Drosophila melanogaster: one gene and its partners. The protein of the gene in region 1 interacts with the protein of each later gene in a pairwise test. Each region holds a gene or a part of one and is shown in the gene's direction. Other genes may lie near its edges. The genes, in order: CG11379, Aldh-III, CG32579 and CG10591.

What was found.
Region 2: the proteins of CG11379 (region 1) and Aldh-III interact in a two-hybrid assay, tested with the Drosophila melanogaster proteins (one large-scale study listed by BioGRID).
Region 3: the proteins of CG11379 (region 1) and CG32579 interact in a two-hybrid assay, tested with the Drosophila melanogaster proteins (one large-scale study listed by BioGRID).
Region 4: the proteins of CG11379 (region 1) and CG10591 interact in a two-hybrid assay, tested with the Drosophila melanogaster proteins (one large-scale study listed by BioGRID).

Annotation. Positions count from the first base shown.
Region 1 is NC_004354.4:1,176,063-1,183,805, forward strand, and holds CG11379 (uncharacterized protein), read left to right. Parts: upstream 1-4,102; 5' UTR 4,103-4,201; coding exon 4,202-4,807; 3' UTR 4,808-5,489; downstream 5,490-7,743. Other genes in the region: CG14627 (uncharacterized protein), read left to right, coding at 6,040-6,852.
Region 2 is NT_033778.4:7,471,453-7,480,405, reverse strand, and holds the start of Aldh-III (aldehyde dehydrogenase type III), read left to right. Parts: upstream 1-3,243; 5' UTR 3,244-4,159; intron 4,160-4,846; 5' UTR 4,847-4,911; coding exon 4,912-4,966; intron 4,967-5,025; coding exon 5,026-5,064; intron 5,065-5,746; exon of another isoform or gene 5,747-5,834; intron 5,835-6,275; exon of another isoform or gene 6,276-6,562; coding exon 6,563-6,684; intron 6,685-7,059; coding exon 7,060-7,118; intron 7,119-8,953.
Region 3 is NC_004354.4:16,319,304-16,327,792, forward strand, and holds CG32579 (uncharacterized protein), read left to right. Parts: upstream 1-3,982; 5' UTR 3,983-4,164; coding exon 4,165-4,394; intron 4,395-4,470; coding exon 4,471-4,626; intron 4,627-4,775; coding exon 4,776-4,906; intron 4,907-5,145; coding exon 5,146-5,298; intron 5,299-5,352; coding exon 5,353-5,762; 3' UTR 5,763-5,817; downstream 5,818-8,489. Other genes in the region: Cyp1 (cyclophilin 1), read right to left, coding at 776-1,033; CG9917 (uncharacterized protein), read right to left, coding at 2,745-3,650; CalpC (calpain C), read left to right, coding at 6,631-7,364, 7,439-8,489.
Region 4 is NT_037436.4:5,595,891-5,603,788, reverse strand, and holds CG10591 (uncharacterized protein), read left to right. Parts: upstream 1-4,096; 5' UTR 4,097-4,131; coding exon 4,132-4,168; intron 4,169-4,229; coding exon 4,230-5,131; 3' UTR 5,132-5,232; downstream 5,233-7,898. Other genes in the region: TM9SF3 (transmembrane 9 superfamily protein member 3), read left to right, coding at 1-101, 160-717, 835-1,799, 1,856-2,000; Alp9 (alkaline phosphatase 9), read right to left, coding at 6,650-7,898.

The DNA of each region.
Region 1 (7,743 bases):
CGCAATCTAATCAAAGCGAGAGTGGCTGCGATAATAGCCGCCTTCATGTTGAATTATCTATGGCTGCGAGCTGGTGGGCTTTATCAATTAGCCAAATTTAGTAGGACCTATCCGGTCGCATAATAATTGTATTTACGAAACGATTGGATTGCTTTCATCGATCTGTAAGCTGGAATGTTAATCGCTTTGCCATTTGGATTTGCCGTGTAAAACCCAACGATCTTTGCGGTCAAAGTCTCGCGCTTTTACGCAGAGTAAAAATACTTGTGAAAGCTTAATTTCTGTGTAAATTGTGTCCGCCAAACTATGCAACGATAATTCCTGGTTTCCATCCCTTGAGCATCGTAAATGCTTTTGTTTTGCTCCGTTCTGTTTCCTCCCGCTCGCTATAATTTTTGTTTACCCTACTTTTATTGAAACTTTTTGCTCCTGCTTTAGCTGTTATTTTTACAAGTAATTTAAAAATTATTTTATGAGGGGGGTCCGCAGGGCTTTTCGCCGGGTGCGAAGTTTGCTTTATTGACATTGTCACCCCGGTTGAGCTCAGCTTGTCACATTGAAGCAACGAGCACCTGGACAAGGACAAGGATGAAGTCGAGGGAGATGACTACGGACTCTGGACTACAAATACCTCGGTAACGACAGGATAATAAAATTGTGAAACAACTTTTTAATGAGAAACACTTTTAGCACATTGCAGTGGCCAGTGGACGGATTCCCGGTAGTTGGTAAAATGTTGCTTCCGAGCCCCAATGACGGTTACCATAATGATGATGGAGTAGAAAACGCTGATAGCAGTCGACAGTTCAGTCTGTCGGTCCAGGACGCTGGGCTCACCTGTTGACGCAATATCAAACACCAAGTATCCACTTTTTGCGATCGATTCTCGCGCGGCGGAATAAAATCTTTTTCGTCGTCTGGTGAGTCGGTCTGGCTTTAACAATGAACATTTTGCGCCGCACTACTTCAAAACTGCAAACTTTGCGCCGTAATTGCCCAGAAAAGTAACACAAATGAAACGCATTGACGCTTAATTACTTTTGCTAAATGGCACGAGCCCGCCAGCCATCCTCCATCCTCCATCCCAACCCCTCCACGTCCTCGTCCTTTAAAAGTACTTTTCAAATGGAGTGGGCGAGGCAAACAGAAGGGAAAACGAGTGGGGATGGCCTGAAGGTGGAGCTCCATTTGCTCCATGCGGGTGTTTGGCTTCGGTTACGCTCATTTCTCAGCAATGCTTCGAATTTCCACAGAGTCTGTCTATAGTCCCCTCCTGGCAATTTACGGCATTCACTTGCTGACTGACAACGTCCAGAATGGTTGCTGCCACAACGCGTAACGAATCGTAATCAATGATTGCATTATGATTCATAAATGAAGCCCTAATTCACGCGCATGCAAGCAACAACTGTATTTACTCGTAAATCACTCGCATATGCATAGGTCATTAGAAATAATCTGGATCATATGTAGATACAATATTGTTGGAAGCGGGAAGCGGGCGGGTTGATATAAAAAAATATATATTAATTTATATTATTGCATCATGGTACTTCTAATACGGTATCTTTTAATTCCGCACCCCAAAACACATTCCCCTGATTGCAATCGTGCAGCGTCATGAACATGTGAGGCCTTCAGGGTGCTGCGAGTCGGCACGATTTGACTTTTGTCGACGTCACAATTTGGAGAAGTTTACCCACTTCTGGCGCCGCACAAACTTGGCCCAAAAAGTTGCCCTGCCACTTGGCAAATGCAAGTTTTTGATTAAAAGCCACCACCGCCTCCTGTTCCCACTTTTTTAGTTCCCAGTTCCAGCAGCCAGCAAAGTTGTGTGCCAGGTCTAGGGCCGGAGAAATTGTTAATTGAATGCATTTGGGGTCCTTGCAATGTTTGCCTGTGCGTGATATGGGGCTCTTTGCCAAGAGGGAGCAAATGAAGAAGCAGGCTGAGTTGGTGGCAGGCTGGAGGTGCCCAGGAGCAGCTGCTTCCCAGCTCGAAGTGCTCGCCTTCTCCCACTTAGCCAAAGTGCGGCGCAAATGCTTTGCCATCACTTGGCTAACAGACAAAACAGTATTGGTAGCGCGTTGTTTGCTAGGTGAGTCAAATGCATATATTATGCGAACAGTGTTGGTCCCACACCAGACCAGTGTTGAATAACTGATTTTCTTCGTATTTACAAATTTCTATTTACCCACATGTTCCACACCTCTCAGTGTTGCCGAATCATAGTGCTGATCCCAGAAAATTGTTGTGAAGGAAGCACAAAAGGGTCATTTAATCGCAATGTGGTGGCAACATGTGCCCCAATTCTGGAAACATTTTTGAGGCTACCTAGAGAACCTCGAGAGCATCCCCATTCCTCCCTAACGGATTTGTACAGGTGGTTGGGTGGTTGGTTGCATTAAAAATGCATTGGCCAACTCGTTTATTGTTGCTCCTTGGCAGAGCTTTGGTTTACTTTTATTTAGACGAGCTATTCGCTGGGAGAGCCTGATGATGCAAGCTGCAGCTGCAAGGATTCCACTCCATTTTGGGAGACACACACTTTTCATTAGCTCAAAGGAAGAAGCATGGATCGGAGCTCAGCTCAGGTGGAGAAGGTAAAGCCCTTAAAGTTAAGCGCATGGGAGCGGAACAAAAGTTGCCTTAAAGTCGTTGCCAGTCAATAATGACAGAGGATCCCAGAGGATAGGATGCCGTTTGGAAATGGTAAAGCGGATGCGGACGGGGATTCGAATCGGTGCTGAAGCTTCGGCCACGCCCACTCCGTGTCCGTGGGCGTGGCAGATGAATGAGAGGAGCACAGCCCCCCGAAACCCCGAAAAGAAAAGCAGAAGCAAAAGCAGCTGCAGATTTTCTATAAAAGCCGAGGCTAACGAGATTTGATGAATTGCAAGTCTTTGTGAATGAAGCTACAAGAAAGCTGCAGCATGAATAGCCCCGAGGCACCGCCAGGCCGCCTCCCACTCCTTGCGCTTTTCCATCTAACCCAGGTCCACATAAAAAAAACCCATTAAGTGGTTTAAAGCAGTGAAAAAGCGCACAGCACACAACAAGCAACACAGCAAAAGAAAAATGCAGTTGACATGAAAGCCAGCCAAAACGGGGCGATACAGGGATACAGGGATGGGGGTGGTAGGTCGGTAGGTAGATTGGTAGGTGGTGGAGTCAGACAGATGAACAGTACAGAACAGCACAGCACAGCACAGAGGAGCGGAGCAACAATGCTCACCCAGAGATGAGATAAGAACAGCCGCTGGAGGAGGACAAAGCAGCTTGACGAATTACTTGGCAGCTGCTCCTAGTGAAATCCCTGGGAGAATCAAGGAGCAGCGGGCGGGGCGGGGGCGAGCTGTGCGGGAAAGGACGAGGCGCAAGAAATTTAATTTGACCAACATTTTGATGTATCAAGTTCAGTTGAAGCCGAAGATTTATGACTTGCTGACAGAGCAAGCGGAGCAGCATCACCAGGATTGGGACGTCATGTCGGCAGAGAACAGTGCGGAGCAAGTGCATGCAAGAAATTTTATTCCATGCCAACCAGCCTAATCATTTTATAAATCATCTTGGTTTACCAGACGTACATATATATTATTGTACATATAAAGATCTGGAAGAGCTTATCTATGAGTTTCTCCATGATCATGCTCAAGCTTTAAAGTCCAAAAGTTGGAGCCGCAAAGCTTTGGCCGAAACAAAAATGAAAGTAAGCTGACTACTATCGAGCACATTTCCCATTTCCACTTGCCTCACGTAATGAGCCCACTGAAAATGAGGAAAACAAGGCCTTGACATCTGAGCCTGTTTGACTTGTGGTGATAATTGCAATTGGCGCGGTGTCTGTGACTTCAACTGTGACGCAGACAGTGACTGTGATTACACAAAGAGGAAACCTATGCCATTACCGATGGGGTATTCTGCCACGCAAGAATGCTGTATAAATCATAATATATAAATTATAAATTGAAAAGATAACATCGAATATATTAAATATTGCCTTTAAAAACTTTAACAGAGTTTACAACTTGCTTTTTGTATCACTTCTTAAAATAACAAGGAATACTTGTACACAAGTGTTCGGAGTTAACCAAGTAGTGACTGCTGCTTTAAAAGTCAGTTGAATAATTCAGTTTAAGGCTTTCTGACCCGAATTTACTCCCGTAAAACTGGAAGTGTACACCTAGGAGGACATCTGGAGATGGCTCGACTAATGGCCTTGATCATGGCGGTGTTGCTTCACTCGGTACTGGGCATCTCGTACTACTACTACTTTCGCGAATCTCCCGGCTCCGCTGCTCCTCTCTTGGGCGCCTGGCTCTTTTCCGCCTGCGTGGTGACCCTTCTTCACGGGGTGAGGATGTTTTCAAGTGCCCTGCCCGCCGATCAGCGGTTCAGGAATGGGAATCGAAACCTTCGCGGCAATGAGTCGTCCTGGGCATCGCTCTTACTGGAGACAGGCGTCTGCTGTTTGGTGCTGGATCTGACCCTTAGCAAACTGTGGCATCGCATAGAGTCCCTCTGCCAGTGCGCCATTGTGGGCATACTCCAGGCCTTGGCCGTCGAGGAGCAAACCTTCCTGGTCTGCGAGTACTGGACTTTGGGCCTGACTACCGGCCTGATCGGCGCATGTCTTCTGTGGCTTTCCCTATGGGCCACCGCGTTGCCCCAGAAGCTCCGCTGCGGGATGCTCGACTGGCGTCGCACCCTTCATCGCCGCTGCTCCGCGCTGATCTTCGGAAGTCTCGAGCCCGGCACTCCAATGCAGACCCAATCCCAGGGAAGCGCACAGAGCTTTGCCAATTGAGACGGAGGGGTGACCATTCCACTTCCACAGCCATATCACACTACCTCAGTCAATAGCTAAATTTATGGTTCAAATTATACTAAAAGCGTTTTAATAGGCACAGTGGGACACAACGGGCTGCATCATAAATTGAATTATGAATAACCATAATAGTAAATTTCGATTCAAAGCGTAGTTTCTTTTAGCTTCTTTAAGAAAAAAATAAACTCAAAAATCGAACATATATTAAATCGCAAGACCACTTTCTGACCGAATCCATGAAGCCAATTTGAAGCGGACAACTACCGGCCAAACTGCCAACCACTGGGGGCTGTCATCCCCCCGAAAAAGACTTGTAAACTCGTTAGCCGTAGCCGTACCCATATGCAATGCGGAAGAGGACCGATCCGAGATCCAAAAGCGACACGCCCCCAAACAACCGATTCGGTTTCGGTTTCGGATTCGGAAGACGGAACCCAGCGGCTCAAAGTAAAGCAAAGCAAGTCGATCGAAAGCGAAAACGAAACCATTACTCTGATGCGCGATCGATGGCTGTAAACTTGAACTTGAAGCGTAGCCAAAAGCGATGGACACCACGACGGCAAACAGCAACTGGCAACTAGCAAATAGCAACTGGCAACTAGCAACTTGCAACTTGCAACTAGCGACATGCAAGAGCCTGGCACACGCAACAATGCCGCTGAAATGCTTCCAAGGCAGTGCCAGCCAAATGCTGTTGCTTGCTGGCGCGCTGTCGTGTTTCGCACTGGTTAAAACTGCAGCCGCAGCCTGTTGCCAATTGCGGGAAATTGGTCGGGTCGTCGAGCGATATAAAAGCCTGGCTGGCAATGCAGCCGTGTTAATCAAAGCGCGTCGCTCGCCAGGAAAAGTGCAAGTGTTTTCCACGCTCCCAGGCAGCATTCAAACTCAAATCGCAGAGAAAATTCAGCGAGGTGAAATACGCATACTTTTTTTTTCTGTGCTTATAATAAAATCGAAAGGTGTTCCAAAATATCTGACCTTCGTGTTGCAGAATTAACTAAGCTGCTATAGCAGATATAGTTCAGTTACAAGTGCAGCTTACGATACAATTTTTCCATTTCGGATGCACTTCGCGTCCTGAAAATCAGCTTCGGGTATAAGCAGCAAAATGTTATTTTATAATATCCTTTGGGTTAACAAGTAAAATATATTATCGCAAATATTTTTCATGAACACGATCCCTTAACTTTTCTCTTATTCGCTACGTGTAGATGCTGTGCCACCGACACATTCACATCCATTGCCAGCTGTTCCTGCTGCAGCTCCTGGTGATGCCCCTACTTCAGGGTTCCCCCGTTTCGAGTCCGGAGATAGCTAGTAAGGGTTCCAAGTCCCCGAATGGCCTGCCACAGGTGCAACAGCAGCAGCAACAGCAACAGGAGGCCCACCTGAACTCGCTGAGTGCCTATGCCAGTGGCTATGACATGGCCCAGAACCAGGCTCAAGTCCAAAATCAGCTTCAGGGCCAGATTCCATCACAAACGGATCCGGCATTCAAGCCCTCGTACAAGATGCCCGAGATGGAGACCAACTTCACGCCCATGCAAACGGCGGGAACACCAAGTGTGTCCAGTTTACCGTCTACTCCCATGCTCATGCAGTATCTTCCGGCCCAGGCAATCCAGGATGGATCCGGAAACTCGGTTCAGTACCTTCAGCTGATACCCACCCGCCCGATCATAGTGCCCATTTCGCCGTACCTCTCGGCTGCCGCAGCAGCCAGCGGATCTCAACCTGCAATCTCCGCCGGCGCACAGCCAGACTTCGGAGGACGAACGGCCACTGTTTTGAGTGCTCTGCCGCCCAACTACGCAGCTCTGCAGGGTTACGCCAGTGGGTCCATCAATCCAGCCGCCGCCTTCCGCAATACCTATCGGATCAATCGCGAGGCCAAGGACAAACACTTCCCGCCCTCGTTCTCGCTTAATCTCAACGAGTACTTGCCAGCCGCCTCGTTGGGACTGACCGGAGGCCATGACGCCTCCGTCAATAGTCCACATGTGTATCTGCGGACCAGGTCATAGGATGTCAGCTACCGCCAAAGTCTCGCAACGTTCGAGCCTCTTTTTCTCTTCCGGAATAAAGCCTTATATGTATATATGTAAAGTGAGCCTGTGATTATTTTATGCAAGTCTATATCCCACTCAATTCAATCTAAGCCTTTCCACCTTGAAATGTTACACAATACGATACGAGTACAACCTACCCGACCATCTTGTGATTTTAGAAATTGGTTTTCCCATAATTCAAGAGCCGCGATTAATATAATGGAAAAAGCAGCAGTATAATGGACAGTATATAGCACATATGGCAAAACAGTTTGCTTCCCATTCAATTTACATAACTCCCTTTTATCTGAGTCACTGGTGTCGTTCTTCAGCGGCCTTCCACCTTTCGTTTCGTTTTCACACCAACCCAAACACCGCCGTGCTAAGAAGACCCAACAAACCAACCTAACGAAACCCAAATAAACACAAATGAAATCCAGACGTTATCGTATCTAGACTGTTTATTTGCACAGCGCCAAATAGGGGACAGTGAGCAAACAAACACACCTTTTAGGCTGGAACCCCCAGCCGAAGGTCGTCTTGGTCTTGTGCAGAATGCAGGCCATTGTTTTTGTTTCTCTTTCATTTGCGTGAAAGTGACCAAAACACACTATTTCGCGCCCGACCGGAACAGAGACGGTTAAGTATGGTTCAGTTGGAGAGTGTGTGCTGCGCCACAAAACCTTGGAGTTGCGTCAGTGCTGCCAGCCATTTGGTCTGTCTACTCCTAATTGTCACAATTTGACAAATTTATTTGGAATTTACTGGCTCAAATCGAAATAGGGCCATCATTGCCTCTATTCCGAGTCGCGGAGTAAGTAAAGGGGCGCTCAGCCCAAAGCATCTTTCACTTGCCGCATTAAGTGG
Region 2 (8,953 bases), on another chromosome or scaffold:
TCAGGTATTCACATTTTTTTCGTATTACTTAGACTAAGATAAAGCGAGTCGGCGAGCCGCCAGCCTGACTAAATGACTAAAATCATCGTGAGATGATTTCAAAGATTTTTCAAAGATATAAGGAGGATGTAAGGAGGAGCGAGCGTTGCAAGACCCACATATGTAACTATTTACTAAGCCACGTTTTATAACAAACATAACAACAAATCGATCGACGATGCTAAAGCAAACGGAATGAACTCTTATCAAAATACAATTTTGAGTAATACTTTTAAAACGACAAATGCAAAAAACAAAAAAAAAAAAAAAAAAAAAAAAAAAGCAATTCTCGGCCAGAGCAGAGAAACGATTTCACTACCAACTAAAAAGATCTTTAAAATTACGTACTATGCATACATACACATATATATTTTGACGCGATCATTTAGCCATTAAGTTTCTAAGAGAACAACACCCACGATTATAACTAAATTTGAAAGCATTTCTCATTTGGAAATTATGAACATAAACATACGCATACGCAACGCATAAGCATACATACATACATACATAAATACACGTACATAACATATGTAATAATTATGGAGCAATTGAGTACAAAACGAGTACAAATTTAAATTATAAGCCAGATCGGAGGACACACACGGACACACACCGCTTAAGTTAAACCATACACGGAGCAGTTGAAATATTGATAGGCCAGCTACTGGTTTCGCATAGCAAGTACAGCATGTACTCATATATTCATATTCATATTCATATTCATATTCGAGCGGAGGACTGGACTCAGCGAAATAGCCAGCATACTAACCACACATATAAGCATAGTCGCAGTACATACATACATACATAGTTACTTAACATAGACTAGCCTAGACTAGCCCGCAAAACTATACATCTACATATATATCTAGGGCAAATGATTACCAAATTACAAATTACCAAAATCCCTCCTAGCCCGCTAATCTAAATCTCATCTAGTTTGATTTGCTCTCGATAGATAGGCGAGATCGCGTTTGGCACACCCAAAAAGCATCTCAAGCATTTTCACCCACTCAGCATTCTGCATTCTGCAATCTGCAATCTGCATTCAGCAGTATTCAGCATTCAGCATCAGCGTACATACATTCATATGTAGGGGCGTGCGGGTACTAGGTACACCCACCAGTAAGCAGCTATTAAGTCCGAGTAAGGCGATAAATCGAAGTCTAGGAAATCTACCAAATCAAGCGACGGATTCAATAACGAGTTGCAGTTTAAAATTGTAATTGTGTAGTAGTGGAAAGCGAGGAGGAGGTCAGAAACAAGCGCGGACCACGGGTGCGCCACCACCTGGTGGCTGCGTGGTCTGGCACTTTTCTATATACATGCATACACATACATATTTATATACCCGAATATATATATATATATATATACAAGCGTACATAGGTGTGGACTTGACGAGACAAGAGTAAGAGTATATTTTATACGATAAACAAATTTTATAACATATTTAATAATAAATTATACACTAATAATTGTGGACACTGCTCTGCGTTTTTTTCTATCTCACTTGAACACTTGAGTTCCACAGCGCAAGCCTAAAGATAGGCTACTGTATCTCACGGGTGCATAAGAGTTCAACTAGCTAATGGTTCCATATGAATGCTTACAATGGATTGGTTGAATTGAATTGAAATTGAATGGGAACAATCAATATATTTCTGGGTTTTGAAGCCAATCTAAGGTAAGTAACGTACTCCCGGTTGGAGCTCGAAAAACTGAGCGAAGATGTGGATTGCATACGATCGTTCAATGAATCTTAGAATGGATTGATTGAATACCTCGATATGTAATCATGATTGTGATTGAAATTGATTCGGAGCAATTACTTCAAGTCATTCTACATATCTGGTTATTAAAGCCAATCTTAAGTCAATTATGGGTTTCAAACGTAATTGAAACATTATGATACCTTCGAATTGGTTGATAGAATGATTAATTTCAATCTTAGTTACTTTCTGACACAAAGATAAGGCTTTAGCCCATAGATATTTACTTCTCAAATGCCAGCATCTTTAGCTGCCTCGTTTAATGGGTGATGCCGTCACGCGGACCCGGAACCTGGGTCAAGGCCACGCTTCCATCTCCATAGAGCCCACATACATGCGACGCAAATGGGTTGCGGGCATTGTCGAAAAAGTGCCGAGCGGCCATTAGAATGACAAAAGGAATCGCTAAGTACGCCGCTGGGCATAATGAGACTTGGCGAGGCAACTGAAAAGTTGGAATACTATTTGGAATCGCATCAATTGCGTGACTACAATTGCGGCAGCTTTGTGTGCAAAGAGCACCATTCGAAATCACTTTTACAATTGTTTGCTGGCCGTAAAGTTGGGCAAAGCGAGCCAAAGTCCACCGCCAGCTGGTAGCGACCAGCTAATTTCAGTGGCGAGAACAGGTAATTACGGCATTAGAATCCGGACTGATATGCCAATTGGCAGGTTTACTGGACTAAACGCGATCTGTTTAATGGATCTCAGCTCTCGATCTCAAGCAGACGACGTCTGGCACTGAGGTTTTTGTCCGGATCTCATGGTCAGGGTGCGAAGCTGTCCGCTGTGATTCGATGCAAGTGAATACTTATCAATAACCGGTTATTTATTAGCCGTCACTTCACTTGCTGGCTTCTGCCGCAAAACAGCTGCTCGAAATAACAAACACCTGAAAGGCAAATAGTTTATTGTTTACGGGACGATCTTTAGCCTGGCTCGCCCTATTCCTAATTGGCTAGGGCATCGGGTACAGGCTGCACTGCCTAAATAGAACTGATGTCAAATCTCAAATTAAAACTACCTTCATTACAGTCATAATTTCTGGTCAGTAGTTATATCTTGTGCCCTTAACTTTGCTTCTAAATAGCATTTAAAGAATGTAACACTTTTATAAGAGTTTTTTTTTTGCTGTAGCACAGATTTGTTACAACTTTACTTCATGATAAAAAAAAACGAGTCTAGTTGACGAACCCAATAAGTTGCCATGAGCAACTATCAAAAATGTGGATTTAATTTGAGGAAAAACAGATTTTCGCAGGCGCCCAGTTTGTAAATTGGCAGTTGGTGGTTCCAGTTTTTCCAATTAGTGCCACTCTTTTGCAATGTGACAAACGCCTTTTAAACGGCGTGTTCGTTGCACAGAAGCCGGACTGTATCGTCATTCGGATTAGTAGAGAGGTGGCTGGCATCCATCACCATTATCTGGTGACTTTGGGCCGGGAATGCGTGTGCATCTGCGACCTGTGATTAGCGCCGAAGACCCCCATTAAGAAATTCAAATCAAAAGTCGAGATTTGAGATTTAAGATTCGAGATTCGAGATAATCAAGAACGCGAAGAAAACTGAAACTGGAAAAGCGACGACGACTGCGGGTACGGGCCAACTTGGAGCGCTTAGCCGGGCTTAGACGTGTTTCGAGCGCGGCGGCGTCAGGTGAATCCGAGATTCAATCCTAATTCGAATTCGAATCCGAGTGCCCGGTGCGTGTTCAATACGCTTTTGAATACAGCGACTTGTTTGCTGGCTAATTTTTTTTTTTCGAGTGGCGGGCTACGCATACAAATTAGACCAGCACATAGTGTCCATGTGTAATTAAGCGACCCGATTCACTGTAAGCCGCTCCAGCCGAAGTGTGGTCGAGTGCATCGGTCCGGCTTTCCGCCTCCAGATACACGCGGCGGTGGTCAACGGCCAGTGGCCACTTGGCAGTGCTCCGCCACTCAAATCAGTTGGCTTTCGGGCGTTATCGCGCGCAGATTTGCTTGGATTTAAACCAAAGTACCGGATAGTGGTTATTTAATCTACACTCGCGCTTATTAGCCAACTGCGTTGACAATTAGCCGGCCCAGATGCTGGAATGAAAGTGAAACTGGAGACGGAAAACCGAAAACCAAATCCAGTCGAAGTCGGTTACATGATAAACGCCATGTGAATATGTTGTCATACAGAAACGTGATCCCCTGTGCTAATCAATTCAATTCGCATTGAATCATCGAGTGTGTTGGCCAACAGCCATATTTGCATGGTTGAACTTGAAACTGATTACTGATTATGGAGTGCTGGTGCATTTGGGTGTTTTTTCATTGATATATTGTTGTTTCAGCTTTTAAAGACTTCAAATCGTAAGCTTGAATTGTATACGATTTGTTTGATCATTTGCAATTATTTTATTATGTTTATCCCCAAGTCAAAATGTACAAATATTTATGAAAAGGGATCAAACACAGCTGCACTTTCAAATTAATAAAGAAATTGTCGAGTGTCACGACTATTAGATATCCATTACTGAGCGCGAAGAATTCTACTAATAAATACGCAGTATCCAACTTGCTTGCTATTGTAGTTTCCCAGAATTTCTTTTACATTTGATCCCTATAAACTTGGAAATTCTATTAAAAATTCGACTTATAGAAATCCATATTTTTACAAGTATTGTTGTAAACTATTATTCGTAAGGAAGTGCAAAGTTGTGCCATAAACAATGGCGGAAAAAATATTACAATCTAATATGAATACTAGAAATATTGATCATCTATTGTAATATTTCTTGTTTAGACAATATTTCAATCTTTAGTTCACCTTAACCAATTGGCGGGCCAAAAAGCTTGTGTAAGTCAATGTGGAATTTGTGAAGGATTTCGCCAGCTGGTTATTTAATTGATTTTCCCACGAGGACAACTTGACAAATTGACATTGATTTTCATTTGGTTTGCTTAGTTAAGTGTGCAATCTTCTTGTTCGGACATTTGCCACTTAATAGTTAGTAGTTAACCACATTTACCACATTCGTTTCCTGGGAATCCCTACAGCTTTTGTGCTATTTAAAAGTGTCCCCAATAGCGAATTTATAACCAAACAAAAAAACACTACGATAATGTTTGACAACGCGATTAAACCTCATCCGGAGGCCAATGGAGCTCCAATAAATGGTAAGCTAATGAAAGTCTTACTTATCAAAATGCCCGATTTTATAGAGTTTCCGTTAAAGCAGCAGGAGATCGGCCGATAACTACTGTCATTAATATTGGTGAGTCAAAAAGTTCGTATGCCACAAAAGCTTTGCATACAATGTGTATAAAAATAGAAGCAGTACTCAGAGGGTGAAATCTAGTTTTTCCTGTACAGCTTAAAACTTGATCAAAAACTAAGGGGTTTTTAAATTATATGCATTATTGTAAAGTCCAATAATCTTAATAATCTTAATAAGCGTGAAAGCTTTTATAGGACACGCATGTAACATCATTATTTAGCTAAAAATAACTTAAAATCCTCAAACACATTTAGTTTCACTCATGGTGACTCCGTCATATATTGTTTAATCGCACTCATTGTTATATGTCATTTGTTTAATCGGAGTCACCGTTACCAAGCACTATTATCGGAAAGTATAGAAGTGCGATATATAAACAAATGCGTTCGGTTTAAAGTGGGGAGTGTACTATGTCCAACTAATATTAACACCATTGATATTAGCAGATTAGGCTGGAATAACGTTCAGAATGCTCTGAACTTGTGTTAGCCGAGTCCAAAACATACTGATTCGTTATCGGAGCGACACGCTTGACTTTCCCCATCCGAAATCCAGTGTCCATATCAGTTGGTATATAGCTTATGTATGTACATTCTGAACGAAATACACATGCATTCAGTTCTGATAATGAATGCCAGCGGCCCTAGTCGAGTATATGTTCGGTTCGTGGAGTAACAATCCACTCAGTGTCGACCGGCATTTGCGTTGAAAAGGTGTGTTCTGTTCTCGGAGAGATTAAAATAGCGAATTCAGAGTGTTTTTTTTGGGTAAGCCAGCTGTTTTCTGTGCACCGACTGGATATGCTTATTTATGGTGCAATTAGGTTGCGCCATTTAGTGAACAACCAGTTGTTTTCGTTGGAAACGAGTATTACTCTTTTGCAGTTGTGCCAAAATAAATAAGTGTTTGAAAAACTGTTACGTGTTTGCATAGTTTAAGTTTACCGCTATGGAAAGTTACAGACTGAACGACATTAGCAAACACTGGATTAGCAGTGACATGAACCAAGATTAACTTAACACTTACTATTGTTTTACAAATAAAACGAAAACTTAAATGTTTACGCCAATAGACTGTAGTTACATCCCGATAATTTTTAAAGAACCACTTTAAACTTTATTATTGTCGAAATTTACGACTGTAGCTCGTCTTATATTAGGCGCCCTTTGGCACTTTTTAGCTACAAATTCGAAGCCCAGCGCGGTCACACTGGCAGCAAGTTTCGCATTCAGATCCGATCCAAATCTTGAAATATACAAGTTTTGTTGTCGCGGTGAACGGTTGTCAAAGCGCGTCAACTGCATGCGTTTATATCTTTTTTCTTCCTGCTGACGGTACCGAAAAGTACACATAATTTTAACAACAAACAGAAGACGCACAACCGAAACAACGGTAGATGCGTAACGAACGAAAGTGAAAGAGTGTCAGTGTTGTTTACATTTGCCGTGCCACCCGCTCCCGCTCACGACCCCTTTCCCTTTCTCCTGAAACGCAGAACCAGAACCAGAAACCGAAAGTCCAATTGGGATCTTCACATCACAACCGGAAAGTCAACAACAACAACCCGAGCAGCTCCAATCCGAATCCGAGTCCGACAGAATGGCCAATTTTGACGATGTGAGTGTCCAATTAGGCAATTTATTGCGAGCGAGAGAAAGAGATGTGTAACGATTATTAACTTTAACTGACACATATGTTGTTAAATGTATGAACGAAACACACACAGACGAACTCCGTGCACGTAACGAACATTAAGCGCCTTATTTTAGTTTGATTTTGATTTGATTTTTATTTGAATTTTTCGCCGCTTCGTCGTTATCCTCCCGTCTGTATGCGTGTTGCATGTTGCTATTGCTATTGCGTATGTGAAATCGCAACTGCCTCCTACGAACAACCATGACAACAACTACAACATCTACAACAACGTTGGTCGGACTGGAAACTCCAATTGGGATGGCTAACGAAAACAACAAAAACAACAACAACGACCAGACGTTGCAACGCGCCCGCCTTGCCTTTTCCAGTGGAAAGACCAGGAATGTCAGCTTTCGGTGAGTTTACTTTTATTTCGGCACTTTATTCGCTTGCTGTCAGTTAATTTTTTGCAAAGGCTCCTCGTCTTGGCCAACATATTGCGTTAAAACTGCCGCTTGAGTGGAGATTGTGTCATATATTTCGCTGATTACATTGGTTGGGAGGATCTGGAAAGTGGAAGTGGGTTAACTTCCAGCAAGCGGGACTGGAATTAAAATCGCCGTGGAAGTTATTTGAAATCTTCACATCTTCATTCTATTCCGCTTTTGTTTTGAATTTCATTGATTTGTGATTTAATTTTTTTTTTAATTTATTTAACTCGATGCGGAGTTTTGTATAATTTGACATTTATCTCTTCTTTGGCTTTAGATGACTTCTTTTAATCGCATAGTTTGATTTTAATATCCACTTGGAAGGTACATATATTTTTATCATTTGTAGTAATGGGCAATATTTTAACATTTTAATATATGTACATTATTTTCCATGCGGCTTGGAGGTAGGATTAAGATTTCAGGCATTAAGTCCCCACACCGAGCTTTTATGCGAAGTGATTTCCCAATCCGCTGGCCACCGTATCTCTGTTTGCTTTTATGACTGGGGGGCCATTACAAAGCCATTGCGGCAGGGCAGTCAGCGAACTAACTATGTACGTACATACATACGATCTCGGCTCGGGGGGCATAATAACTTTTCATGGCTATTGTTGCATTGGGGCCAACGAAAGGCGGAGATCTCAATCCGATCCCACCGACTTTCACACGCAATGCAAGCTTTGACCTTTGAGCCACACGCCCTCGAGCTTTTCACGCCGCCGTAGTACATGCGTGATAAGAACCAAAGATAGTGGAGCAGAGATGCTAAAGTCTAGTTGTATTCCGTTCCGATATGCATTAATGAGCCCGCGGCGGAACTTTGACTCCGTCAAGTGGTTGTACTTTGAATGCAATTAGACGGCGGCGGACGGAATTGTGGCATGTAACCGGAATAATTGCCATTTCCACGTCCCGACCGACCGAAGCAGCACTCATCCGCCAATGGGCATGATCGCGAACTCATACCTCATATACGTTTATGGATATGCTAATGGACAAAGAGGCCGAGGGAAATAGAGACGGAGCAGAGACCGACGAAAACAGGCGATATACCCATACCCGCCGATATCTCGGTATTTTGAGTGCGAAGTGTGAAACGGAAGTGCGGAGGAATCTCAGCCCAAGGCTGCTGGCCGCTGGCCGTTTGGTTCCATGATCTTTCAAATAGATCCGGACAAACGAACACGTTCTATCGCCGTCTGCGCCTCCGGCTACTTCTACTCCACTAATATAATCAGCTAGCTATTCAAATAGATTTGCCGAACAAGAACCACAGAAAATCTTACGACTTGAAAAGTTGGTTTGTATGGTATGATGTACATATGTACAACTGTTGGACTTTGATTGACCAAGTTCGATCGATGTATTGACTCAATTAAAGCAATAATTTCAAGCTTATAGATACTTATTGAAAGAGACGATCCATTAGAAACGGCAATTCAATACACACAATTTCCATAAGCCATTACTTTAAACGTTTAAGCATCGTAATAGTTTTAGAACGTGAATGTGAAGTACATACTTACTTACTTACTTGATATTAAAAGTCCAATGACTCTGCTCAATAAATTAGGCATTGCGCTTAATGAAAGCACTTTTACATTCAAAGATCCCTGGGGTCAATTGTATGCAACAAACATAAAAGTGCGCTAAATTAGCGTAGGCAGGGGGATTCGAAAGGTTCATCTGCATGGTCGGTTATGGATTGTTGTAACTTTGGAGGACTTAGGTCATAGCCAAGCTGCCCTGTAGTTGGA
Region 3 (8,489 bases), about 15 Mb from region 1:
TGTTTGCAAACGGGTTTACAGAACTCGCGCATTCACACCCGAATATCTCTGTGTGTACACTGTACATCTGCGCGTACATTACCCGCATGCACACATGTACATATGCAAGCACGACAAGAACATACAGACATACGCGAGTGACCGCTTAGAGGTTATGTTCGTGTATTGATCTGCATGTGTGTATGGGTATGAGCCACACATACGCAGACCACGCCGGAATGTACATATATAGCACACATGCACAGATGCATATAAAATACCGGTAAAAATTGCACACCATTTCGGCCAAAGTTTGCCGACACGTCAATTAAAATAAGGAAAATTCCATTCTATAAAGATAATACCACCAAATGGCCGATTTGCGGGGGTTGGTGCTCCTGCTTGCCTGTTTGCTCAAAATTCAGCGATGTAGAGATAATTATAGAGATTTTCCGATTAAACGCGCCTGTCCAATTGGGTTGGAAAATTGAAAATTTACCCATAGCGCATTGTCATGCAATTAGTCATGGAAAGTAATTGCACTTGTCGCTTATAAATTAGAGGGCGAGTTTGCGCTGTGTGTATATTTGGTACAAGTTTTAAATCCGTAAAAATAAAAAGAAAAAAACGGTATGTACTTATCACCTGAGGCAAATAATGTAAAACACAGTCTTAGCTTTAGGCGTAAGAAATGGCTTTATGGGAAATCACGTGTTTTTCACTTTCTGGTCAAATGTCACAAAAAAAAAAACCTCAACTTAAGTTTAAAATTAAAAAAAAAGGGCAAATAACTCACCTCCATGACGATCCGACCGAGGGGCTCGTTGTCGGCGGTCATATCAAAAAACACCCTAGGCAAAGTACTCATCTTTGACGCTTTCGAATATTCGCGAACAATCTGAATTCCAAACTGCAACTGACCCCTATTCACACTGCACGCTGACGAAGCTAGGGTTATAGATTTGTTAGCTAAAATGGCGGACTCCGCAATCTGAAATGCCGCTGCCGACCTGTGCCGAAACTGTCGAATCAGAGTTGCACAAAAAGAGACCATCGTGTATGGCTTGCGACCGCATGTACGATACTACGATATCGTTCCGTGCGTTCCATTCCGCGCGTTTCGCTGCTGCTGCGGTCGCAGCAATTGTTACATCACTTTAGGGCGCCCATAAACGCACTTTGTGCTGCCCATTCCCCCATCAAAACGGATAAATGGTCGCGTTCATGCGCCCTTTTTACAATTTTTATAATAAATAAATACATTTACTTGCGCTCATTTGAAACCGCCAATCGAAACAACGCATTCGCCTTCGTTAAGTAAATATCTTACAAAAAATTACAGCATCGTGATCAGCGATCACTCCTAAAAATCAAATATTTTTTTGCTTTTAAAGAGCCATTAAAATATAAAACTTAAAGTTGAAATAAACACAAGACTATTAAAAAATTAAGATAATTGAAAAATAGTGGTCACTTTGAAATAACCATTATTCTAAAACAGCACATTGTAAACCCAAAAATCACGGCGAAATCACAGGATTATTATAAAGACTTTTTAAGCATAAATTGTTAAAGCATATATGCAGCTATTTCTATAGCTTTTTAAAAACAAATGTATTAATTATTTTTATACATGTATTCATTATTTTAAATTACTTGTTTTAAATATTAACGTTTCGATAGTTCAATTGTGCGTGTCGCATTTTCTATTTTGCCATTTTAAACTATAGTTAATAACTAATAATAGTGTTTTACAGTATTAAGTCTTACAAACTTTTAAATGTAATTTGGAGAAACGATGGAAAATAAATAAATAAATATAAATAATTTTTGTTTAAATGGCACGATAAAAAATAATTGACCTAACAAGACAGCCTGTTTCAAAATTATTTTTCGATTACTTGAAATGATTGCTCACAAATAATCAGCAATTATCGGAACAATGTTTTCAAATTTGTTTTCCGCTTTTTCTCGCGCCTTTTGTTGTGGTTTTTCTGCCGCGAAATTTGAAAATGGCGTTCAAGGTGAAAACTAGTTGGTGATTCATTTCTGAAAACGTAATGAATGCAGCTGCACGGTCTCAACTACTCTGAGTACTTTTCACCACCTAATTGACCTTTAACTCCCAGTTTAAATGAACTCGTCCTTCTTTTTACATTTATCACTTTATTATTACAATAATGATACGTATATTCATTTACAAAACATATCCATTCATTGTTTTTACATATATAGCATTTCATTTCCCAAACCCATACCCGATCCACTATGAAATAGTGAGATTACCATTTGCCTCCCTCAGTGAATTTAAATGAAAGAGATTAATACAAACCCAACTCGAATCAGAACCGCAAGCCACGCCATTTCATTAAACGGAAATAAAGCATTAGATAAACGCATGACAAAGGCCAGAAGAATTTCTGATTCAGAAGTAAAACTAGAAGGAAGTATAAGCATTGTTTACAATACTACATACATACATACATCAATTGGCAATTAATTACATAAATTAGAAGCACCAAACAAAAACGATATGGCTGGCTAGCCTGGAGCAGCAGCACCTTGGCATGCTTATCCCCGAAAGCGGTTGAACTATGGACACCTGTTCCACGGCTACATGCATATTAATATAAGCGAAGCAAAAGCTTAAAAACAGTGATTATCGTGCTCTTTGATTAATCGCTTTGGAATGCCAAAGTCAAAGCGTTGAGAAGGCGTTTTACAGATTCGGATTCGAGATATATAGCGGACGCCCAGACTTAGAACTAAGAAGACTTTTGTAGAGCGAATCGCAGGATTAGCAAAAAGATGCCCACATGGGTCCACACTTGATGGAATACCCGACTCCCTCCGCTGGCGGCAGCCGCAACGAGCGGCGATTTCTGATTGTCACGGCACATCGTTTGGTTCCGAATGAAGTTGAACATGGACTCGACGAGATTCGCCGGTGTTATGTCCGAGCATTGCTCCAGTTTACGGACCACACACGCCTGCAGAGTCAGCATCTCGTCGCACTGTTTCTGACCGACCGTCAGCTTGGGCATGCTCCTGATGCGGTTGTCCTGCAGATCCGACACGTTCAGGTACTCGGAGAACGTGCTGTTCACGCACTGCTGAATGTTGTCCTTCTGGGACTCAATGCATTCGGGTCCCTTTTCGGCAATGAACAGGGCTATCTGATCGCCATCCTTGTGGCACACAAAGTTGAGCAGACTCTGGATGATCTGCTTAATGACATCCTGGCCCTCGCGCTCCTCCTGCACCAGACAGGGCACCAGTTTGGCCGTGAACGCATCCACACACTCGACGGCATTCGAACGCCGGCTGCAGTACTTGTTGAAGACCACATCCAGTTCGCCCTTGGGCGACGCTTCCTGTATCTCCTGCTGCATTGCCGTGTAGTTGACAATGCCATTGAGGCACTCGGTTAGCACCATGAATCCGGACTCGATCTCGCCGTATGCCTCGACGCCCGCCTCCTCGCCGGCCACCTCGATGCATTTGTTGCGAAATAGCTCCTTGGCGTCGTTCACGCTAAAGTTTGACTTCCTCAGCTGGTCGGGCAGCTGGGTCTGGATCTGATCCAGGTCTAGCTGGGCCATTATGCCGGCAGTGGCGAATATAACCAGCCAAATGGCGTATATCGCATGGCTTACATATGTCCTGTGCATGATGTTTGCTGTATTTTTTGCACTCCTCTTTGTCTTTTTGCTTGCCTCCTCTTCCGTTATTCTCCTTTGCTCTGGTTTTTAAGCTCTGAGATTTGCACTTTTGTTTGTGATTCTATGCGCTTCAAGCAAACATATTTGTTCGTTTTGCGAAATATGCCTATGCCTTTGGGCAATTGGAAAAAATTAATTTAATTAGGAAATCACTGGATGGAAATCCCAATTGGAGATTCTATCCCACCCGTCGGCTAGAGATGGCACTTCGTCGATGACGCTTTCGATGCAACAGCTCACTATCGGCTTTCCGCCGATAAAAGCGTACGATCGATCTATCTCTAGTTCAAATGAACAAGTTCTCGTAGAATTCAGTCTTTATTCTAATCTTCAGTGTTTTGTTTTTTTTTTTAGTCGAAAACCAGTGTCAGCAAGTTGAAGGCGAGAGTAGTTTGGAGGTCGAGGCCTTGGATATTTGTGTGTGGCTAGGGTGGCACATGTGCAATAAGGAGGCGGAGGAGACATGGCCTCCGCGGAGCAAAGAACCGAAGTGGACGCCCTTATGATGGGGCCGATCTCGAAACTAAGCATGCTGCTCACTGTGGTGTCCATTCTGTGGCGCTTCGTCTCGATTTGCATCAACTGGAGCCTGGCGTACGTGTACTGGATGGAGGAGTCCTACGGATACTGCGCCTGGACCATTGGCTCCATTCTGGTGCCCATGGTGGTCACATCGGTCATATATATACATACGTATGTGACATATCGCGATAGCGTGTACTTCCCCCGAAATCTACAGCTAAACGATAAATTTGTATTTGAATTTCAGCTTGAAGAGCGCTCATGCCGGCGAAAAACGCATCCTGGAGCGAGGGGTGTACTCAAATGCTGTGATCTCATATCTCTTCCGCGATGTCTATGTCCTAAACTATGCGTTCAAATACTCGTTGGCCAAGGAGCGGGATGACAAGCAGGCGGAGATCGAGTGAGTAATGCTAGTGTCAGTGTATAAAACTAGTTAATAGTAGCTTAATGCCCTAAATGGTAGTACTGCCGTTTAGTTTATCTTCTCTTTTCATCATAAGTGAGCACTTTAGAATGTTTATAACGAATATCTGAATTCTTATCTTACAGATATTACCAAAAACTCATGACGGAGGAGTGCAATGTTAGTTTCGTTCGTCTATTCGACTCGTTTTTGGAATCAGCACCGCAGAAAATACTACAGCTGGCAATTCTTTTGCAATCGACATTGGAGTTCACATGTAATACGATATTAATACTACATTAGTGCCATATTTCAATCTCTCTCTCTCTCTGCCTTAATTAAGATAACTAATGCATAAGTAATTTAAGCTTATAAACACCAAATTCTGACGTTCACTTTCGCAAATCAAAGTCAGTTTAGGCGTTTAGCCTAACTCATTGATTGTAGCCAACGAAAGTGAAACTCGGAATGGAAAGTCGATGGATGCCATTTACCCATTCAAATTTCTTTTCCCAGACTACCGCCACATCGCCCTGATCGTCTACTTCGGCAACATAGCGTGGTGCATCCAGGCGTACAATCACTCCAATCGCCTGGCCCAACTGGACAAACATGATATTGCGGCGAAGGGACGATTTCTGCAATTTCTCTTCCTGCTCTGCCTCACTGGTTAGTAGTAGTTAGTTAGCTGTGTTGCTTAGAATGTGTATATTAAGCTTTTAGTTATTCGCTTTTATTTCGTAGTTTCGAGAACGCTTTGCATCGCGTATGTGGCCAGTATTTTTCCCATCGAAACGCTGATCATCTGCGCGACACTGGCTTGCTTTTACGGCACCATTGTGTTCTTTGTGGACTCGCCAATGATCGCAAAATCCCGCCCCATGAACTATTCGTACTGCCTGTGCTTTGGCGTTGTCTATCTATTTATTTTTACGCCCGTCAAGGATGCACCAACCAAATATAAGTACGCCTTCTATCTCACATTCTGTTTGTTGCAAAATATCATCGCCTGCGCTTTGTACATTCCCTTGTATCTTGCCACAGCCATCATTGCCTTGTATATTGTCGGAATTGTTCTGTTAATAATCTACTACACGTACTGCCATCCAAATACTGTGCGTACTTATTTTTAAAATTCTAGCATAATTAGTAGCATTTTGTATATTTGCAATAAACGTTGTTATGCCCACTTGTGATGCGCCTTTGATTTTCAATTGGCTTAAGCTGGTTTCAGATCTAATCTAATATCTAATATGCATTGTGTTTTTATTAGAGGATATATACATACATACATACACACATATGTATATGCAAATTTGATTTCATTTCTAGATTTTCTATCGATATTTGACCATCGATTAACTGATAGTTAGGTTTTAAATTTAGTTAGAACTTTTCTTTGTAGCGGAACATCAACTAAAGGATATATATAGATATATATAATATAAATGTGAACTATATGAATTGAATGTGACACAATATAGTCGCACATACATATATATGTACATACATCTATGTTTGTATTTAAGTGTCATTAAAAAGATGTCATATTTATGTGTTAATCCCGTGTACTTAATTTGAAGCGCTTACTAAATATTTTTCAAATGCAATGCCTTTCTGTTCAACTAGTTCCCAAATATTGATCAGCAAATGCATCATAATTGAATCGATCATTCCAGATGCGCATGCGCAACGCGCCAAGATGATGGAGTCGCGTATCTGAACTGGCGCATCTGGAACCAGTTGGCGGAGTCGGTGGCTGCGATGGAGTTTGGGGCGCAATTAAAACGGTTCCCGCAGATGAACCGAACGGAACCGGTTCGGGATCGAAGCTAGAGTTGGCTAAGCTAGTTGGCATTGTATATTTCATGCAGCTGGTTAACTTTCACTTCGGCTACGAGGGGCGGAGACCAAGGCAAATCGCAGTGGGACTACGACTAGCAGGCATCAGGATAGCAACTCGAAAGCGGAAGTGATGCAAAGGATATCGAAGCCCAGAAGATGGCATCCAAATACGAGCGCATACTGAGCGATTGCAGATCGAAGAACGTGCTGTGGGAAGACCCCGATTTCCCCGCGGTCCAGTCTTCGGTCTTCTACTACCAGACACCGCCGTTCACCTTCCAATGGAAGCGTATCATGGATTTGGCGGATAGTGGCTCCGGTGCGGTGGCTGCCAACAGTTCGGCGGCACCAGTGTTCCTCAACGAATCGGCGGAGTTCGATGTGGTGCCTGGCAAAATGGGCGATCGCTGGCTGGTCTCCTGCCTGGGACTGTTGAGTTCCCTGAGGAATCTCTTCTATCGCGTGGTGCCCGCCGATCAGACACTGGCCAGTGCTCACGGCGTCTTTCGTTTCCGTTTGTGGTGGTGCGGCGAGTGGGTGGAGGTACTGGTCGACGACCGTCTGCCCACCATCAATGGACGGCTGGCGTTCATGCAGCCGCAGGCATCCAATTGCTTTTGGGCCGCCCTGCTGGAGAAGGCCATTGCCAAGTTGCACGGCTCCTACGAGGCCCTCAAGTACGGCACTCGTTCCGACGGACTCACTGATCTCCTGGGCGGCGTGGTCCGGCAAATGCCCATCCTGTCGGACAACATCAGGCCACAGACGCTGAAGGAGCTACTCACCACCACCTGCATTGTCACCTGCTTGGCGGACAAGAGCGCAACCGTGGCCAAGAAGAATCTCGCCGAGCGCATGCCCAATGGGATTCTGGTGAACGTTAACTACAGGTAGGACATCCATCGATCTATTACCTTCTAATGTCTTTACTACTGCAACGACCATTTGCCATTGAAACTTACAGACTCTCCAGCCTGGACAAGGTGAAGACCCTGATGGGTGACTCGGTGCAGCTGGTGTGCCTGAAGGACACGTTCTCGAGCAAGCCGTTCGGCGAGAAGACGCACTTCCTCGGCGACTGGTCACCGATGTCCAAGACGTGGGAGCGTGTCTCGCAGGTGGAGCGAGCGCGTCTCATCCGGCAACTTGGTCCCGGCGAGTTTTGGCTGTCGTTCTGCGACTTTGTGGAGATTTTTAGCACCATGGAGGTGGTGTACCTGGACACGGAGACGTCCAACGACGAGGAGATGCTAAAGAGTCGTCCGCTGCACTGGAAGATGAAAATGCACCAGGGCCAGTGGAAGCGAGGCGTCACCGCCGGTGGTTGTCGCAATCACGAGTCGTTCCATATCAACCCCCAGCTACTGATATCCGTGCAGGATGAGCAGGATCTGGTAATTGCCCTCAATCAGCACACGGCCGTGGAGCCGAAGGTCATTGGCTTTACGATGTACACATGGGATGGCGAGTATATGCTCAGCGAGTGCCTGCAGAAGGACTTCTTCAAGAACCATGTGAGCTATCTGAACTCGGACTATGGGAATACGCGGCACGTTAGCTATCATACGCACCTGGAGGCGGGTCACTACGTCCTCATACCGACCACCTATGAGCCGGCGGAGGAGGCACATTTCACGGTCCGCATCCTGGGCACCGGATCCTTCCGACTCTCCTGCCTGGAGACGCAGACCATGATACTGCTGGATCCATTTCCGGCACTCAAGAGCACAGATGCCGAACGGTGCGGCGGGCCGAAGGTCAAGAGTGTGTGCCAATATGAGCCCGTGTACATGCAACTGGCGGATGAGAACAAGACCATTAACTGCTTCGAGCTGCACGAGCTCCTGGAGGCGTGCCTGCCCAATGATTATATCAAGGGTTGCGCCAACATCGACATCTGTCGCCAGGTGATCGCTCTGCAGGACCGGAGCGGCAGTGGTCGCATCACGTTCCAGCAGTTCAAGACCTTCATGGTCAACCTGAAGTCCTGGCAGGGCGTCTTCAAGATGTACACC
Region 4 (7,898 bases), on another chromosome or scaffold:
GCGCCACGCAAACCACGGTGCCGTTCCGTGCAATTTGTTTATGTCTGCTGATCGCCAGCTGCTACGTGTCGCTCTCCCAGGCAGATGAGCACAATCACAAGGTGAGTCCGGATGCCACATCCCTCGAGCACCGAATACATGATCCACTTTGCCACGCAGTACAATGACCGGGAGGAGGTGGTACTGTGGATGAACACGGTGGGCCCGTACCACAATCGGCAGGAGACGTACGCGTACTTCTCTCTCCCCTTTTGCAGTGGCCAGAAGTCCTCGATATCGCACTACCACGAGACGCTGAGCGAGGCGCTGCAAGGAGTCGAGCTAGAGTTCAGTGGCTACGAGATGGAGTTCAAGAGCGACGCCCCCAAATCGGTCATCTGCATGGTCACCTTGCAGGAGGAGAGCGCCAAGGCATTCACCTATGCCGTGAAGAACGAGTACTGGTACCAGATGTACATCGATGGACTGCCCATTTGGGGAAAAGTCGGTGAGCGCGACGAGCGCGATGGCAAGTACTATATCTTCACGCACAAGAAGTTCGACATCGGCTACAATGGCCAGCAAATCGTGGATATCACCCTGACCACCGAGGGCCGCGAGGAACTCAAGCCGGGATCCCACATCAACTTCTCCTACGAGGTCAACTGGAAGCCCAGCAAGGTGGAGTTCAAGAATCGATTCGACAAGTACCTGGATCCCAACTTCTTCCAGCACAGGGTGCGTATAGTTCAACTAGTTTTACTCCACAACTTTCAAATGAATCATATTCTATATAAATAGCAAGAGGAAAAGGTCAAAGTTTGATGACATCATCTTTTCTTTAATCTTTTCTAGATCCACTGGTTCAGCATCTTCAACAGCTTCATGATGGTCATCTTCCTGGTGGGTCTGGTGTCCATGATTCTGATGCGAACTCTGCGCAAGGATTATGCTCGGTACAGTAAGGACGAGGAAATCGACGACATGGAGCGAGATCTTGGTGATGAATACGGCTGGAAGCAGGTGCATGGCGATGTCTTCCGTTCTCCGCCCAACACACTGCTCTTCTCGGCGTTGGTGGGCGCTGGATACCAACTGATTTCGGTTGTATTCTGTGTGATCATGTTCGCCATAGTTGGTGAATTGTACACGGAACGCGGCTCCATGCTGTCCACGGCTATATTTGTGTATGCCGCCACCTCACCAATCAATGGATACTTTGGAGGATCGCTCTATGCCCGCCTGGGTGGACGCATGTGGATCCGACAGATGCTGGTGTCCGCTTTTACAGTTCCAGTGGCTGTGTGCGGCACGGCTTTCCTGATCAACTTCATTGCCATTGGATATCACGCGTCGAGAGCCATTCCCTTCGGTACCATGGTGGCGGTCACTTGCATCTGCCTGTTTGTCATCCTGCCCTTGACTCTGGTGGGTACTGTCGTGGGCCGCAATCTGGACGGCCAACCAGACTTTCCATGCCGCGTCAACGCGGTGCCACGACCCATTCCCGAAAAGAAGTGGTACATGGAGCCACTGATTATTGTGCTTCTTGGCGGTGTCTTGCCCTTTGGATCCATCTTCATTGAGATGTACTTCATCTTCACCTCCTTCTGGGCGTACAAGATCTACTACGTCTACGGCTTCATGTTGCTGGTTTTCAGCATCCTGACTGTGGTCACCGTGTGCGTCACCATCGTGTGCACCTACTTCCTGCTAAATGCCGAAGATTACCGATGGCAGTGGACGAGTTTCATGGCTGCGGGCTCCACGTCGATTTACGTGTACGCCTATTCCTTCTATTACTTCTTCTTTAAAACCAAGTAAGATGCCTTTTTCTAGCATATTATCCATATATTTATATTTCATTACTTTACAGAATGTTCGGTCTGTTCCAAACGGCCTTCTACTTTGGCTACATGGCACTCTTCAGCGGCGCCTTGGGCATTATCTGCGGCACCGTCGGCTATGTGGGCACGAATCTCTTCGTGCGCAAAATCTATTCCAATGTGAAAATAGACTAAGAGCCCTGCGACTGCAAACCCACCCCCAGATCTGTATATCATCCTAATCGATTAACAATTGTATTTATTGAGTAGAGTTTTAGTTCTGTTTCACAACTTTAGCTCCAGTTGGCTCTCCTCTTTTCGTCTCTTTGGGTTACCCACTTCTCATGTTGGTGTGAAAATGAATGCCAGTCCAATATATTCGCACCAAAGATAAAAGATTCAGTTTAACGATGTATACGCAAACTACATATATCACCTAAAAGGTTTACTTCGGAATTATAAGACTAGACGTTTCAAATGAGAAAATTTGGGAAAACATTGTGAATTAAAAGCTCTTTCTGTTGCATTTACGTTTTGCTAGTTTTAAGAGTCAATTAATCCTATACACTAATTTTTGGTTTTGTAATTTCTACTGTTCCATAAAATAACATTTCTCTACTTACTTAAATTACTAAGAAGCTTGCTTACACAAAATATTTGATATATTTCCGAAGATAACTTTTATGTCATATATGTGCGTATGTTACGTTGCATACGGTGTACATCGAGTATTTTATTTGAATTGTTTGCCTAGAAAACTTATCAATCTATGCAACTGCAACAAAATGTGACTTGAACTTGTTTGCGCCAATTAAGTTATGTACGATGCAAGAAATGTGCTGATTAGCAATAGTCGATAATCTAATAATAAATTCAATATATAAAACCAAAAAAAAAGTTTATGACAGTATAAGCCCCCTTCATCTTGGCCATTATCAGCGAACACACAGATCGTTTCACTTTTACTATTTTTGATTCACTCGGTAACATTGACCCTCAAATTGTTTTCCAATTACTGGGAGGCAAACAACTTCAACGGTCTTATCATCCCATTTATTAGGGGGCCAATTCTGGCACTTCCATTCGTTTTCTTTTCGTTTGGGAGCACAGGATGGATGGAGTACTTTGGGGTTATTCCATGACAACACCATTGATAAAGCCTTTCGGATTCTTGTCGTTAACTGATGATGTTCGATTTGTCTCAAGTAACTGAACTATGTTTATATTACGTATACGACCAATCACTGCAGTGTTTACACACAGTGTGTCTTATACCCTAAAATGTTTGGTGAGCTTTCCAGAATCAACTATATGAATAAATGACTTAAGTTGTTTCAAATACAAGCAACTTTCAAAAATATTATCAGTATAAGTACTGAATAATTTTCCTTCAGCACTAAGTACGTTTTAATTCAAAGTTTCGGAAGTTTGGTAAGATAACCTATGGACATACCTTTGAGATTAGCAGTTTCTAGTAAACAACTATTTTGAAGTGTATCGAATGGTTTCAACTGCTGCCACAAGCCACCCTTCATCCGGATTTACTTCTCTGCTTATCGGGACTTTCAAGAGGCCCAGTGTCATCATAGTTCCAGGGAACGGCGCTAGTTTGGAAGTGAACACCTACGGAGTGGGCACTCGTCCACTAATGACGCGTGTTTTCGGTGGGCTTTGTCTCGTCAATGGAATTCTGTGATAAGTCGGAAATGTTACAGAGCCTTTTCATTTCTAGCCGTGGTAGTGTGGTAACTGATTGGAAACATATTGATTTCGTAATTTATGCTAATTCTGGGCAGTGGAAACTGTAAAGGCGCTTGGGATAATCCCTGAAGAGTTTCCGTTTTGATGAAAAGGCAATTCAAAAATCTGGGTGTCACTTTGATGGGTATCGCCCACATTTGGTCACATAAACTCTACAATCTGATCACTGTTTATGACCTGATAGACAGTTGATGTATTTTTGAAGTTGTCCCGCTGATTGCGGCTGGCTGGCCAAGAATCAAACCGAGAACCCTGCTGACCCAGTTTAAAGGCTTGTCGTCGGGCCTAATGATGTTCGTGTATATTTTGTTGCATAAATTATCATAATTGTCACTGCGCCGACTGGGTGATGGCATTTTTCCTTTTGATCGCTTAGCATTTCCCTTTCGATGGTGGGTTAAGAACAGTTATAGAGATGCGGGAAATGTGTTTTCTGTTCGATCTAGAGATTATTTTGTATATTTTCTATGCATATTAAAACGTAGCTCTCGAGTTTTTCAGCTTATAAAAGCCGAATTCGAATTTTGGATCTCAGTCCGATCTGAAGAGAAATCCGAAGTACATCATGAGTTTTTTGGGACTCTTGGCTTTTCTGGTTGCTGGTAAGTTTATAAAACATTTATAAATTTTTCTACAATATTACAATACCATATATTCCATCAGGTCTTTGCTCCACCGCCCAGGCTTCGTTGGTGAAATGCTCTTGTGATCCTGGTCCACAGGGGGAACGAGGACCTCCAGGTCCGCCTGGACCTCCTGGCAATCAGAACGGTCTCTCTGGCAGTGGTTCTGGCTACTGGGGCTATCCACCCACAGGTCCTTACCCCCCAAATCTGCCTTTCATCCAGGGGCCTAGAGGCTTACCAGGACCGCCTGGTCCTCCTGGATATTGTTTCCCATGCCCAGCTCCTCCACCTTTGAGATCCTTTCCGCCACCGGGAGTTCCAGTCCCTCCTTTCATTTCCACCCCAGGTGGTGGCGGATTTGGTGGAGCCTCTGCATTGACCACCGCTGTGGGCAACATTATAGTGATTCCAGGAGGACCAGGAACGGGATTAGCTGGTCGCGCTCAGTTCTTCCACATTTCACCCGATGGCCAGGTGGTGCAGATCGATCGACCGCAGAATCTGCCCAGTGAACTGTTCGATACACCGGTGAACCAAGGTTCCGGTGCTCCCATTCCTCCACCGCAACCCACATCGTCATCTCTCTCGGGGATCACACCACCAGCAGTCCAAGTGCCACCAACTCAACCCACGCCCGGCGATCTGGGAGCCCAGCAGCCCACAATTTTGCCCGAGAATATGGAGGAAACTGTGTTTGCGGTTGGCAATCGCAAGGACTTCCTGCGAGGTAGCTCCGATGCCAGCGATTGGAGAAGGATTCTCCTCCTGGGAGAGCGACCCACCGATGGTCTACTCAAGGGCCAGTCCGTCCAGCAGCTCAGTCCCAACCAGCTCGAGAGCAGCGTGGAGAACTTCCAGAGGGCTTTGGTCGAACTGAAGGAGAAGTATGCCACGCTCATCCAACCGCGTAACTCAAACCAATATGCAGTCATCATTTGAAGGGAAAACTTAAGATTAAATTTAGTTTAATAATTTAATAAAAACTGTACTGATAATGTCTAAAAAGAATATAAATGACCATTTGATATGGAAGTAGAGGTATTAAGATGTCTCTTTTATGTCTTTCATCTATAGATCTTTTAGTTGTCTGACTTGTTATGTAGAGCTGGCACTTGTGTTATTCGTTCAAGCTTCGTCAACAAAGTACGATATCATTTCTTGGTATTTATAAGATAAATACGGATAAAAATAGAAATACCTATTCGAGGGTAATCCCCCAAAGAATTATGAATTACAATTGTCAACAGTCAATCTGCGTTAAATACGTGAGATTCACAAGAAAAATTCAATCGTCATAACATTGCGATGCCTATTAAATTTTTTTATAAGCATAATAGGCGTGAGTACTTAACGCTTTTTAAGTCTATCAAAACATTTTGAAAATCAATAACGATAATAGGAATTAAAGGTATCAATCCAATCGATTTGATTGGAATCAAGTTTAATTTGCTACAAATGATTTTAATTTAGTTGCAGTCATAACACAGTTAATCAATTTTTGATAGACTTAAATTAAATTTAACTTGTCATTGGTATTGTAAAAATAAAATTCCTTCGAAGCGGTGGGTAAACAATTTTAGAGTTAATTCGTTTAACGTCATTGGATACACTTTTCAGTACAGAAAAGCGATAATTTAATTTCTAAGAATTTGAACTTTGTCAATCAGATTAACTCTTATATTTAAACAATCCTTTTTTATCTTTTTAATTATTTAAGATCAGCTCTGCATAAAAAGTGTTTTGTATACTAGTACCCCACATAATATGTTTTACAGAATGGAACTTTGTAACGAATTTCGATTTTCTTTTGAGACGTAAAAATTGCATGTTCTTAGTCGTTTTATTAAAGTCCATCCTTTTGCGTCATTTGTCTGTACAAAGTCAAAAAAAAAAAAAAATAAGCCACTTATCACCCATTAACGTTTATATTTAATCAGAAGTACATATTTTGTTAAATGTGGTTTTTCTTGGAAGGAATGCCCCATGCATAGCAAAGTCCAATGCGTATTCATTTGGCTCCACAAGTCCTACTATCAAGATCTTAGAATCTACGAATGGAAAAGTACCCATTCGAAAAAATGGTAAGTTGTTAGATAAAAATACAAAAAAAAAAAAACAAATTCCTTTCTCATTTTTCAATCACACCACTGTCAGTTAGAAAAAGTCGCAAATATAAATTGTTCTTATTAATATAATCATATTTAATCGGCCAGCTATTGTCTGCTTATAATCAGACACTATAAGTACATTTGGTTTTTTAACATTGATAGGAAAACGTTTATTGAAGTATTGATTTTAGTAATCCCCGATCGAATTTCTTTTCTCGAGAGCCGCGTGTTCCAGCACCTGTCAAATGTTGAGTATTCATTTAAAACGATAAAGCGTACGTGAGAATCGTCTAGTGGATGCGCTAATTAAGAGTCCTTCTGTCCGTCAATCATCGCCGGATTGGGATTCCTAATCGCAAGCGGTTAGTCCATCGCCCACACAGGCAGCGAATGCCATCATGTGAGGAATGGTGTTCTGTTCGTAGACGCCAGTGAAGAGATGTGCCCAGGGTCCCGAGGCGAAGACACCCACATCCTCGCCGCCATGGGTCTCCGATTCAAGGGGCACCATCGCGGGGAAGAGCTGATCGAAGTCTCCGATTGTGGGCAGACTGGTGGGATCCACGCGCTCGTGGGTCTCCGTATTGTAGTAGTCCTGGAAACTCTTGCCGTTGGCATAGCTCAAGGCCAGATACGGTTTGCCATCCTTGCCATTCGCCTTGGCAGCTCCAAAGATGTCGCTTCCTCGTGGTTGATATCCCGAAACGCTGAAGGTGTGCGAGTGATCCGAGGTCACCACAATGAGGGTCTCCTCCGGGTTGGTCATCTCCCTAGCCTTCTTCACCGCCTTCGAGAGTTCAGCGGTCTCATCCAAAGCAATTCGTGCCATTGTTTCGTGGTGGCTGATGTCGATTTTACCTCCTTCAACGAAAAGGAAGTATCCCTGCTCTTCGGTTTCCAGCACTTCAATGGCCTTCTGTGTCATCTCCTCCAAGGTGGGCTCATTGTTGTCCGGATCGGCCAGTTGCTCCAGATGATAGTGCATGTGGCTCTTGCTGAACAGGCCCAACAATCTACCGGTTTCAGTGGCGTTCACATTGAGCAGCTTCTTCTGCGTTTTCACAAAGGTGTTGCCCGCGTCCAAGGCTTCGAATTCCTCGACGAGATTACGACCATCAGTGCGCCGGCCCTTGTCGTAGTGTTCCGGACTATAGAAGCTTCGCTTGCCTCCACCCAGCATGACCTTGAGTTTGCTGCCCACCTCGCCGTGAATCAACTGGACAGCTATGTCCTGGAGTCCATCTGACAACTCACCGCAGGCCTCCTCGAGAACAGCGTTATTCTCCCATTCACGATCGGCGACATGGGCGTAGACTCCGGATGGCGAGGCGTGGGTCACTCGGGTGGTGGTCACTAGTCCAGCAGCTTTGCCCGCATCCATGGCCCATTTACCCAGGGAGAAGACATGGTTCGTTTCATTGGCCATCGCCGCACAGTCGCCTCGCTTCACATGCGCATTTACGCCGATGGTTCCGTAGTTCGCCTTCACTCCGCAGAGATATGAGGTTGAGGTACAGGCGCTATCGGGGACTATTTTGTCCACCGAATAGGTTTTCGATAGTCCGGTAAAGGGGAATTCTTCGAAGGAGAGCTTCAAC